Linked DNA regions of Caenorhabditis elegans. The protein of the gene in region 1 purifies or fractionates together with the protein of each later gene. This does not show direct contact. Each region holds a gene or a part of one and is shown in the gene's direction. Other genes may lie near its edges. The genes, in order: unc-14 and klc-2.

The links.
Region 2: the proteins of unc-14 (region 1) and klc-2 purify together in Caenorhabditis elegans (affinity purification with western blotting, with the first as the bait; one study listed by BioGRID). This does not show direct contact.

The regions. Positions count from the first base shown.
Region 1 is NC_003279.8:7,122,203-7,129,904, reverse strand, and holds unc-14 (RUN domain-containing protein), read left to right. Parts: upstream 1-1,658; 5' UTR 1,659-1,767; coding exon 1,768-2,397; intron 2,398-3,319; coding exon 3,320-3,436; intron 3,437-3,979; coding exon 3,980-4,062; intron 4,063-4,756; coding exon 4,757-4,936; intron 4,937-5,122; coding exon 5,123-5,224; intron 5,225-5,356; coding exon 5,357-5,500; intron 5,501-5,652; coding exon 5,653-5,832; intron 5,833-5,878; coding exon 5,879-6,030; intron 6,031-6,125; coding exon 6,126-6,291; intron 6,292-6,601; coding exon 6,602-6,845; 3' UTR 6,846-7,291; downstream 7,292-7,702.
Region 2 is NC_003283.11:5,576,231-5,581,575, reverse strand, and holds klc-2 (Kinesin light chain), read left to right. Parts: upstream 1-2,071; coding exon 2,072-2,189; intron 2,190-2,241; coding exon 2,242-2,558; intron 2,559-2,609; coding exon 2,610-3,529; intron 3,530-3,579; coding exon 3,580-3,688; intron 3,689-4,314; coding exon 4,315-4,473; 3' UTR 4,474-4,839; downstream 4,840-5,345. UniProt on the Caenorhabditis elegans protein: Kinesin is a microtubule-associated force-producing protein that may play a role in organelle transport. The light chain may function in coupling of cargo to the heavy chain or in the modulation of its ATPase activity.

The DNA.
Region 1 (7,702 bases):
ACTGGGAAATCATCTGAATATTTTTACAAGTCGACAGTTGCTATGTACAATTTACAACTTTAAAATAACGTACTGGAAATCTACAAAAACTTCAAATCATTCTGTGAATGTAAATTTCTTTGCTCATATCCTTCTTCTCCGTCTCTCATCACTTAAATTTTGTTTGCATCGTTGCCCACTATTTTAATTAAGCTCATTTTCTCAATTTCCTCTACCATTTTCTTGTGTCCCAATCAATCATTTCTCACCCACGAAGTATGATGAATTGCCACGTCACACAAACACCGATAGATCTTTTTTCTTTCGCACTCTCTTTCTCATATCAGTTGTGTCAAGTAGACAGAGAGCAGCAGCATCTCGAGTGTCCCATTTTGACAAAAAAAAGATGGGAAGAGATGTTTGTAGTTTTGAGATGAATGATATACGTTTGGTTATTGTCCCAAAGGAATGGTATTATTGTGGAATGCTCTTTGACTCATTTGATTTTATAGAATAGTCTGACAATCTTCTGAAAATTCCTAAAGACCCCCCACAAGAGAAAAGGTATATTCCACATATAAGAACTACAGTATCAAATCATTTTCCAAGTTACTCTAGAGAACATTAGACTACATTATTTCAATAGTTATCAAATGACTTGAAAACGTTTTGAAATTGTTTTATTAACAGTCACTTCAGTTTCATCTTTGAAAAATGTCTAATTGTTTCAAACTATGGCACTTTGCCAAAACTCTGTTTGAAAATTTTGAAAAAATATGAAACATGTCAGAGTTGTTTTAATTTTGGCACTCTTGGAGTAAATTTTGGCTAAGTCATCTTGGCTTCTCAGCTATGGAAGTCAATTATGTTTTACAAACCCATTAACAATGAAATCACTGAAAAGTTTTATTTTATAGTTTTAAAAACAATGAAATTTAGATTTTTTGTCGTAAAGTGTTCATTTTCAAGAAAACCAACGTTACGGTCGTAAAATATTAAAAATCACAACATGAACGAACACGCCCACAACAGAGTTTAAAACATTTCCCGGAACCGTTTTTCAAGTTTTTTGGAAACTTTTTTTCCTGGAAAAACTCTTGTCACTTTCTGAACACAAACTTTTCTTATGCAAAAAAAATACAACTTTGGCACCAAGATGTTTTTGAAAACTTTTTAGAAAATGTTTCAAAAATCAGCCCTTGCAAAAATAATTCAATCTCAAATGATTTCATGGGCTTATATGTTTTTTTATTCTCCAAGTTTTGTGGATTCTAAGATTCTGTATGACAATAGTATCAAGTTGCCTCAATTTTCATTTCTCCGACTTGTTGTCCACCATCACAGTAATACGATTCTTTGTCTTGAAAAATGTGAGCCAATCATCTTTCATGCACAAGTACATTTTCTCGGCCATCTCGTCTAACACTTTCCCTCAAACTACTCTCGTTCGTCTGTCTTCTATTCTTTGCATACAACTCTCAAGAGTGTTTCTCTCATTTCAGCGCTACACAGAGACACAGACAACATCTCTCCGTTGCGAAACACAACGAGAAGAGTATATTGAAGAGTGAGACGGAGAGATACAATTTGGATTGCATAGCCAGCTGACGCTTCTCTCGTTTTCTCTCGTTCTCTCATTTTTCAAAAGGCCAGGGACGCAGATTCATTGATCGACAACGACGGCGACGCGGCGGCGCGAGACGCGTCCCTTTATTTCTTCTTTTTCTAGTCAGCTTCTGTTATTCTGAACGTCTACAAAGGGCTTCATCCCTCAATTCTTCCACCAAAATGGTGGAACTGTGCGAACTGCACATGATGCCTGAAGAGGATCAATGGCCCGATGACATTGATGCTCGAATCGCTGCTCTCAACTTTTGTGGAGAAGATTCGATGCTCTTTGAATCAGTTGATCCTTCTGTATCAACTGATTCTTTAGACTCTCAACAGTTTCGAGAGAGATGTCAAATGAAAAAAGAAGATTTTCAATTAGCATTCGCAGACTCTGGACATTGGCAATCAGGTATAAATGATAATCTGACAACTTGGGGTCGGATTCGGACATCTGAACCATTGGATGAACGTACTGCCAGTGCTCCAGATGTTTGGAATGTAAAAAGAAGTGATAGTGCTCGATCACCAAATCGTCCAAATTCACTGATTGCCAACTTTGTTTCCGGAGATGCTACTCGATTCGTCGATGTAAATGATAATGAAATTCGCGAGGCAAATGAAGAAATAATTCGTAAAGATCGTTGGAGAAGAGATTCAGCGAGACGATGCTCATCTGGAGGACAAAATCAGAAACGAACATTTGCGGATATTCTGGAAAAGAATGTAACAGCACCAACTTCAATGGCAATCACATCGTCTGATAATGAAAAGCCTCCGAAATTAGACTTCCTGGCAATGCATCATGAGGTCAGTTTTTTTTTCGTAAGTGATAAGAGACGGGTGATAAATTTTGTCTGTATTGTGTTCTGCGGCAAAGATCGAGGTGGTCGGAGCGTTCTTTTTTCTTTCGATGCAACGTTTTAAGTTTTTCCAAAAAATAAATCATCTTCACTTTTTTCCGCAGTAAAGAAAATAAACAATTTTTTCAAAAAAATAATTTAAAGAATTTATTTTGATACATTTGAATTTCATCAACATTCACCGTATTTCTCCTACTAATCTTGCTCTTTTTCGGTTTACTTTAACAGTTTATATCTGGCCGTCGGGATATAAACTGTTAAAGTGGTTCAATACTGACAAGACTGATAAATAAAAATACTGTCTGACAGAATATACAAAACCTATGTATCTTGGGAATAGCTGTCAACTGACAAATAAAAACATTGTGTTAATGACTACAAGTATTTATTGCTAGTTTATTTTCTAGTCAACACATTTTTTTCAAAAACTAAATTCTAAAGTCTAAATTTGCAAATACTTAGATAGTATCATCGGTTGGTCATCACATTCCTTCCCATTTAAAAACAATTTTGTAGGTCGATGTTATTTTTGAGATAATGATCCTAACAGAATATAATTTTTAAAAGAAAAAACAGAAAGTATCCCGTCGGGATGCAAATGAAGAAGCAAGAAATAAACATCAATCTTACATAATCCAATCCGCGACAACCAAAATTGTTATCGGTTTCTTTTTTGTGTCAACGTCGCCGCTGTAGTCGTCGCGCCGCACTTATCATACCCATTCATTTGATCGATTGACTGCGTTCGTTTCTATTTTTTAATGTTTCATATACGGACGCATGTCTAGATAATGTCTTTTAGTAGTAGTGTAACCATGAGAAATTAGAACATGCATTCAAACTTTATAATTAAATAAATTAATTTTTAGATGCCATCTCTCTGCGAGTCATTCACCGCTTCGTTCCGTGATGCTATTATTAAAATGCAGAAATGTGAGCCACTACCGTCGATTACTTCAACCAATGATTTTCCGCTCTTCTTTCAAGTAAGTTCTTGTTTTTAGCATTGAAAAATAAACTTAACCATGAGATAAATTGAACAAGTTTTCCCTATTGTGCAGAAGTCTGATTATCAGCTAAAATAGGATACCTATTCCAATAAGCTGCTTTAATTGCTGTTTTAATGCTGTTTTAATAAGCAGGTAAGATCATAAAAACTCAAAGTGCATGCAATTTTAAACAAGAAAATCTTCAGTGGTGATTTAGTAAACATATTTGCATAATAGTCAACCAAGTATCCTTTTTCAACTTTCCAAATTTTTAGTAAAAATTTTAAAAAGTTGTCAAAAATTCCAAAATTGACTTTAGATATGTAAAAGCCTGATTAATTTTTTCGAAAAGTTTTACCACGATATAATACTTTTAAATGGTTTTCCATTCGCAGCTTTAACTAAATATAAGTATAAATTTAATTGTTCCTACAGTAGTTATCCCCATGAACTCATTGTGGCACGTAATCTGATATTTCTCAGTCTCTAATACTCTCACATTATTTGTTTCCATTAATTATTCATCCTTTTCTTTTTCAGGAAGACTCTCCCGACTCAGGACTCGGTTGTAGTGGTCCGAGCCACATTGAAGATTGGCAATCTCTATCTGTTCTTCTGCCCAAGTGAGTCACGTTTTTCATTCGATTTTCCCTTTTTTCTTTCGCTCGCTCATTTTTCATTTTTCGCCGGCTTAATCTCAAGATTATTTCGCGCCCCGGCACTCTTTTATTGAAGGGAAACATTGGAGAAAAATAAGAGACGCAGAGATTTTTCACATTTTCTTTCTTCCCGTTAACCCAGTCGGAGAAAAGATGGCGCAGGGAAGATTGGGAAAAGAAAGGACTTTTTCTGTGGGGTGAACGGAAATTGAGGGAAGAAAACTGAAATGGGCACGTGATTGACTTTTTTGAAAATTGGTCAATCTATCGGAAAAGGTTAAAGGTGGAGATTGTGAGTGTGGATTTAGTTTTAAAATACTCAAACTAGTCTATAACCCTGAAACAACTCAAAAGAAAAACGAAAGAAACTAGTGAGAATGGAAAATAATGTTTTTTTTAATTGAAAAAATAGATTTTTCTGTTTTGGCTAATTTTTCTTTGTTTAAATTACCTCCGAAATGAGAATTTCAAGCCGATCAACGATTCGCTTTTTCAATCAATCATATGGATTGCTGAAACCTTTAAGACGTTGATTGTTTTGAAACTACTTGAGGTTTTTAGCTTTGTTTTAGGTTTTTTGGCATTTTAAACAAAACACTATTAACGCTTTGAGAATCACATCAAAACTAAAAATATTTTCTTAATTGTAATGTTTCAGACACGTCGCAGAAGCATGTTCATTCTTCAAGAGCAACACCCAATTATTAACATCAAGTACATCAAAAACAGCACCCCAAACATCAACAAACATCGTATCAAATTGCATTGATCGCCGTATCTCTGGTATTTCAGCATCAGCAAATGAAGCATGTCGAACGTGTTATCGAGTACGAAGGAGGTAAGAATCTTTTGATTTTTATGAGCTATTTGAGAAGCTAACGGCTAATTGCTTTAGGGTGACGAAACGTTTGATGACCAATCGTTAAAATAGTATACAAGACACATGTTGTGTAATAAATGTGTATCTCACTATTTGTTAGAATATGGTTTTCTGTCTTAAAATATTCATAACAATTTTTTTCAGGATACACCCACCAGTTTGGGCTCAAACTGCCCAATCAAAGACGGTTCTTTGTGACTGCGCATCAACACCCACGGATACGAATTTCTCATTTGCACCAACAACGTAAGCTTCTTCTTCACTGACTCTATTATGCTCTTTAATCTTCCATTTGACCCTCATCATCAATCACTTACCCGCGCACATTCACTTCTTTTCATTCTCTTCCTTCTTTCGAAATCTCATTTCTCATTTCAGTTCAACGACTCGCCATCAACTGCGCGCAAAAGAGCTCTCAATTGTCGGATTGCCGATTTATGCAGCAAAGCGGACACTCGTTGAGAATGTTGTTGAAGGCGTTGCTGCAATTTCAAGAGGGGATGGAAGTGATTTGCTTGTCATGTAAGAAATATTTTTTAATATTAAATATGAGGGTCTGCAACTTTAAAGAAACCCTGAAAATGTAAAAAAAAATGGAAAAATAGTCCAGTTCAATAAAAAATACTCAAAATAGACTCTTATTAATACAAATTAAAATGTTTCAACATTTTCAGCGCCATGAGATGCTTAATTGAAGATGGTCTTCAAGAAAATGTATCGGCATGGACAATGATTCAGACGGTTACCTCAAAAGGCCCAGCTACAAAAGATGTTCATTCAATTGTAAAACAATTGGAAGAATGTTCAAAGACTGACAACGTCAAAGTTGAAATCTTCTTTGAGGAGCTTATCAGGTAATCGGAGAAAATAGAAATATAATCGTTCAAGTAAGAGTTACAGAGAAAACTCATTGGACTGCTGGCTGTGCTATATTGTGTTGAAAGAGAAGGTGCTGAAAACATTGTATTCTGAAAATGCATTCCTTCTTTCTGCGAGTTCTGAATACAGAACTCTTCTTTGGAGAATGGTCGACAGTTTGTCTCTTTTGCCAGGTAATTCTAGTTTTCATTAACAACAACTTAAATGAATGTATATCTAAAATGCCCCAATAGTTCCCTTTTTGAAATTTGCACATTGATATTTTTAGTGATCGAAGCTCGCAGTGATTCAGTTCACCAACAGTTCAAATCAATGCAACAATGGGGCGGAGCATCCAGAATAGCTTCTGACTCAAGAGTTCCAAAGAGTTCATCGTTCCCAGCAAGATTATCAACTGCTCCATCAAGAAGATCAAGGATACCATTGTCAACAAGGTAATTTGTTTGTTTTTTCATTGCAAAATTGGCAGACTTCGAAACGAGACATGTCTTATTTAAAAGTTTATATGCATTTAGACCAGGATATCAAAAAATTTTAAGCAAAGCTCAGCAACCACACTCTAAAAATTTCGCTCTGAAATTTCTTCAGTGAATTTTTTCGCTGTAATTGTGCCTCATTTTTAAGAGTGTTGGGTAGATATTCTGAATTATTTTTGGCAATTGATTTGATTCTAAAAAAATCAACAAATGCAATCAAAAGCTCTCTTGATCTTTGACAACTCTTAACCACTTTTCAATTTTTCAGTCGCATCAGTATCAGCTCAACAACTTCAACACCTCGATCAGCTCGATCACCTTCAACGACATCTCGTATTCGAGTTGCATCTATAATGGGTGACTTCACACTTGCCAATTTCTCCCTCTCAGACGGAGAAAAAGTTAGTGTTCTATCAACTCGTGGAGGACTTGCTCGATGTGTCCGTTTAACGACTTCTCATTCAAAAATCAACAATGGAGTTATTCCGATTGAACATCTTCTTTTCCAGTGAACACTCTGTACTTTATTTTTTTCTTGAACTTTAATTTTTTTCCGATGCTTCATATAATTCTAGTCATGCCACCCAATTCAACCGAGTTTGATCCCCCATCCCATGCATTCATCGTTTTCCCTCAATGATACTCATTTCTTTTTCATGTTCAACTGAATTCATGAAAAATGTTTGAAAACTTTCAAATATTTTTTTGAATTTAAAAGTCATTAGATAGCCTCTCTTTTCCCTCCGGTTTCCTCCAATTTTGCTCCTTCTATCTTCGTATAGAAGAAAATTGCTTTATTTCCTTCCTTTTTCAGCTAAAATCGAGGCAACTATTGGATTCTTTGCAGCTTGCCAAAACATTATTCAATAACAAAAACGAAAATGTTTATTTGTATTTTGGAATAGAGCCAATCGGATTTGTATTGTTTTTGAAAATAAACAATAAATAAAATGCATTTAATTATTAATTTTAAATTTGGAAAAGTTATTAAATAATCTAAAATGTTTGAAAATGAACTTAAAAATGAAAAAACATACAAATAATTTTGTAATTTGGTTTTTTTTTTACACTTTTTGGATTTCAGTGGCGTTGCAATATAGCCTTCAATAATTTTCAAAGATCACCGGGCGTAACATTTAATGATTAATAGTAATTCAACGAATCACAAATTACAACAATTCACAAATATTTACCAAAAACATTTTGATCTTAAGATGTTTTTTTTTTATCTGAACTAGTTTCCATTAGTGTCTCATGTCGAATGATGTGATAAGAACGAATTATTTCGAGATAACAATAACATTTGAAAATCCTATAAAAGGGGGTGAGAAAATTGTAAAAAGCAAGAAGTTCTTACACTGAATTTCCA
Region 2 (5,345 bases), on another chromosome or scaffold:
CTAGAGATAAATAACCGTTTTTAACTATAACAAACAGGCCTAAACTTTGATTTTTTGGTAGAAATATATATGCTTTATACATGCACCTCGTAATAAAATGCTATTTCCTGAACTTTTCAAACTCTTTAACTCCTTCTTCTGTTCATCATAAATCTAAACTGAAAAGTTTAAGACACTAATCCTGGAGCCGAATACGAAAAAGTGCTCGTGGAAGCTTTCAAGCTGGATACCATCATGAATTTGGCCGGTTCTACTATTCAGGCATATCGCCAGTAAGTTATATTTTTAATTTGAAATGAGAATTGGAATTTAGAGTGTTGAATCATTTTCTTATCACATGCATTACTCATCAAAAAATGTTTGAAAGTTATTTCCGCTAGGGCTGTAACAAAAAATGTACAGTACATTCTAAGCGGATACCCTAATTTTCAAAAAATTTCAATTTGCATCTACCGTAAAATAAAAATAAAAATCGAAATCTACTTTCCTAGTCCTCTAATTCAAAATTGCAAGATCTTATGACAAGTTTTCAGAAATAGTGAATATATGAATCAAAACTCTTTGCCCAAATTCTAATAATTCATGAGAAGTTTATGTTAATATGTTTTATTTTTTGGTTTTTATATTTTCTGAAATCCCACCTTTCTCTTGAGAAACAAAGCAATTTCGATACTTTTTTGCATATGAAGCTAAACAAATCCTAGATGTATTCTTCATAAAAACTCAGGTGTCCAAACATTGCAATTAACTATGAAAGGATGCATCTTTCCAATTGTTTCGCAATTCTTTCTCGCCTCCGTCTCTTGCTCTCTCATTTCCTCCATGTTGGACGGACGATCAATAGTTTCTATGTTGTCTCTAATATTTCTATGATCTCTCATCAGTGGCTGCGCACGTCTCGCTGTCTATTCGCCGACACGACGAGAGCGGGCTTTCGGTTAATACAACCAAACACTCTTTCCGAACAACGTTATGTTTTACTTGTCCACACTTTATTAGCATCTTTATGTTCAGAACCATTTCTTATGAGCTTTTGCAGGAGAGAAATTATTAGAAAGTTAAAATTTGGTTTCATTTCTGCTTATATTGCGAAATTTGTACCTATAGTGTTGCACATATTTAGCTTATCTTTGACATATTCCAAAAAGTTTCTCAGTTTTCTAAAAGTTTTTCCAAAATTGTTCTAGTGCAACTCAACCTAGCAAAATCAAAGAAATATATTAGTTCTACCACGAAATGCTATTGATTTTCAAAAATTATAGCGCATAGTGCAGCCTTGATTTTTTCAAATTAAAAATTTCAAAAACCGAGTAAATAAAAATTACAAATTTTTAAAAGAAAATATCAATCCACGATGATTTTTATTTTCTCTAAAACGTGTTGAACATTTGGAACATTTTTGCTTTATTTCAACTTATTTCAAAGCAACGTTTCGGTGTAAAATAAGTTTATCGTTATTTTGTGAAAATGTGGAATGTCATTTTAAAGGCACATGCGTATTTTCTCAGGGGGTCTCGCCACGATCTCCTGTATTTCAATAGCAAATGGCAGGGCTGTTATTTAAGACGCCCTCCTCAATCTTTGAGAGCTCATTTTGGCGTTTTTTTTAACTTCAGCCATAAAATTGAAACTGGATAATATTTACCTAAATAATAGATTTTCCAAATTCTTGCACCAAATAGATCTATGGTATAAAACTGTCAGGCTGATTTTCAAATTTTTGCATTTTTTAGAATTCCAAAGTGAGCAGTATTCATGGAAAAATATTTTTTGAATCTAGTTCTACGTTTTTGAGAGAATGCAAGATTTTAATTAATTTTTGTTGTGCCATACTTTGGCATTATTTACATTTAAAAGAAAAAAAGGGTTAATTTTTTCTGATAAATCTGAAATTAAAAAAAAAGACTATCGCAAAACTTATTGAACGACCTAATAGCTATGATCTACATAGATTCAACTGTTTTTACTCACTGAAAAAATTTTCTCGTTAGCTACCAACACTTCTCGAACTTCTTCCAATTACATTTAATAGATTTAAAATTTCAGGCGAAAAATCGAGTCGCTGGCGAAAATGTCAAACATGTCGCAGGACGACGTGACGACGGGCCTACGTACCGTTCAGCAGGGACTTGAAGCTCTTCGTGAGGAACACTCGACAATTTCGAATACTTTGGAGACTAGTGTCAAAGGTATGGCTTTTTTTACGACGAGTTGAACATTTACTAAAATTCAATCATTTAGGTGTGAAAGAAGATGAAGCTCCATTGCCGAAGCAGAAGCTTTCACAAATTAACGATAATTTGGATAAGTTGGTGTGCGGAGTTGATGAGACATCGTTGATGCTGATGGTATTCCAACTCACTCAAGGAATGGATGCTCAACATCAGAAATACCAAGCTCAACGGAGACGCTTGTGCCAGGAGAATGCGTGGCTTCGTGATGAGTTGAGTTCAACTCAAATCAAACTTCAACAGTCGGAGCAAATGGTTGCTCAATTGGAAGAGGAGAACAAGCATCTTAAGTATATGGCATCAATCAAACAATTTGATGATGGAACTGTAAGTTGAATTTTTCGAGGAGCATTCTTAACTTATTTTGTTTGTTTTCAGCAAAGTGATACTAAGACATCTGTCGATGTTGGACCACAACCAGTCACAAACGAAACTCTTCAAGAACTTGGTTTTGGACCAGAAGACGAAGAAGATATGAATGCTAGTCAATTCAACCAACCAACACCAGCCAACCAAATGGCGGCTTCTGCTAATGTTGGATACGAAATTCCAGCTCGTCTTCGCACACTTCACAACTTGGTCATTCAATACGCCTCCCAAGGTCGTTATGAAGTTGCAGTTCCATTGTGCAAGCAAGCTTTGGAAGATTTGGAGAAAACGAGTGGTCACGATCATCCAGATGTTGCCACAATGCTCAATATTTTGGCACTTGTCTACAGAGATCAGAACAAGTACAAAGAGGCTGCAAATCTTCTGAATGAGGCTCTCAGTATTCGTGAGAAATGTCTTGGAGAAAGTCATCCAGCTGTTGCCGCCACTCTCAACAATCTCGCAGTTTTGTTCGGAAAACGTGGAAAGTTCAAGGATGCTGAACCGCTTTGCAAGCGTGCTCTTGAAATTCGCGAGAAAGTTCTTGGAGATGATCATCCAGATGTGGCCAAGCAACTCAATAATCTTGCTCTTCTTTGCCAAAATCAAGGAAAGTATGAAGAAGTCGAGAAGTATTACAAGAGAGCTCTCGAAATCTACGAGAGCAAACTTGGACCTGATGACCCGAATGTGGCAAAGACCAAGAACAATTTGTCATCTGCTTACTTGAAACAAGGAAAATATAAGGAGGCTGAGGAGTTGTACAAGCAAATTCTCACCAGAGCTCATGAAAGAGAGTTCGGACAGATCAGTGGAGAGAATAAACCAATTTGGCAAATCGCTGAAGAACGAGAGGAGAACAAGCACAAGGGAGAAGGTGCAACTGCCAACGAACAAGCTGGATGGGCAAAAGCCGCCAAAGTTGATAGGTATTATGATTTTTATTAGAAAAAAATAAATTAAACAAAACTGATTCCAGTCCAACCGTCACAACAACTCTCAAGAACCTTGGAGCCCTTTACCGGCGACAAGGAAAATATGAAGCCGCCGAAACATTGGAAGATGTCGCCTTGAGAGCAAAGAAACAGGTATGTAATGATGTTTTTTCTGCATTCATGGCTTCTCTATCTAGCACGCTTTACTGCATTTAAAATACAAAAGTTCAGAAAAAAAATTTAGAAGTTAGATATTAATGTTGTAAAATGTTGTATGCGTCCCCGATACCCCAGTGACAAGAATTTGCTTCATATTTACATGTATTTTTGGAACTTAAAACATTGACAACAGTTGTTTCAAACCAGGGGAGTGCGTCAAATTTGCCGAATTTGCCGGTTGCCGAACTTGCCGGACACGGTAAATTTCGAAAATTGCCGCACACATCAAAAATTCGACAATAAAATTTTGACCAAAACTATGTTTCAAACTAACCCGAAAATTAGATGCTGCCTGAACAATGTCTTGCCAACTTTTGAACCAAAATTGGCAAATACTGAAATATTGCACAAATCTGAAGCTCATTCAAACGAATTGTTTTTTAAAATTAAAGTTTAAATTTAATACGAAGCATATTCTTGTCCTCCCCAAGCCCCCATCAATAACAATTCCAGTAACAAAAAAAAACACATAAAACGCTTATTTTTGTATTTTAGTGATAGTGATGTGCTTTAGAATTTGGTCACTCGTTTCCTCTTTTCAGTATTGTTTCCTCTTTCAGCATGAGCCATTACGAAGTGGAGCGATGGGCGGAATCGATGAAATGAGCCAGTCGATGATGGCTTCTACAATCGGTGGATCCAGAAACTCGATGACAACGAGCACATCTCAAACTGGATTGAAGAATAAACTAATGAATGCACTCGGATTCAACTCTTAAGAGCATCTCTTTGCAGCACTGACTGAAAACCGCTTATCGTTCTTGTATTAATAAGTGCTCGTTGATTCAAGTTCCAAATTCTGAAATTTTGTCTCAGATCTACGAAAACTTGCTTTTTTCTTCTTTCGTTGTGTTGTGCATGATTCTTTTTTTTTTGATTGATTTTTCTTTCTGCCCCATCCCCTCATTCACAAAATCTTGTTCATAAATAATAGGGTTGAATAATTGAATGTTTCCTTGTCCGCCCCCACCAACTTTTTGGTAAAGCTTTATATTGTCTGCTTCGAATTTTCTTTTCAAGCAAAAAAAAAAACATAATTATAACAAGCTGAAAAATCGTGTTGTTGTAAATAAAGGGTTTATTTTTGAATTCTGCTTGTTACAAGAAAAAGAAAACTTCAATTTCAGATGTCCGAATCTCGAAGAATGGAACGATCCGTTATGTATTGATTGTTGCTCGACATTGTACTCCGTCATCAAGCTTTACACTTCTTCGCAAAATTCCAAAAGTTTACAAGTTCTCATTTATTTATATGTATCAAGTTCTAATTAAACACTGCTTTTCTATTTTTGTTAGCTATTCGCATAATAACATTTTTTTTTAATTATAAAAATGTGAACCCGATTAAATTGGAAAAACGTTTCGAGAAAAATTATAATTGCAAAGATTCATGATATTTATTCAATAAGACTTGAAAAACATTTACCCTGATATTCAAAAAATTAACAAAAAACAACGGTCAAGTTGGTGATTATGGGAAGGGGTTTGTATTCTATGAAGAACACGGAGAGATTAACATGAGCGGTACCAAACCCTGGTACCAGGGCTTCCTGCTGGCAGGAAATTGTCAAATTGATAACCCATAATCTCC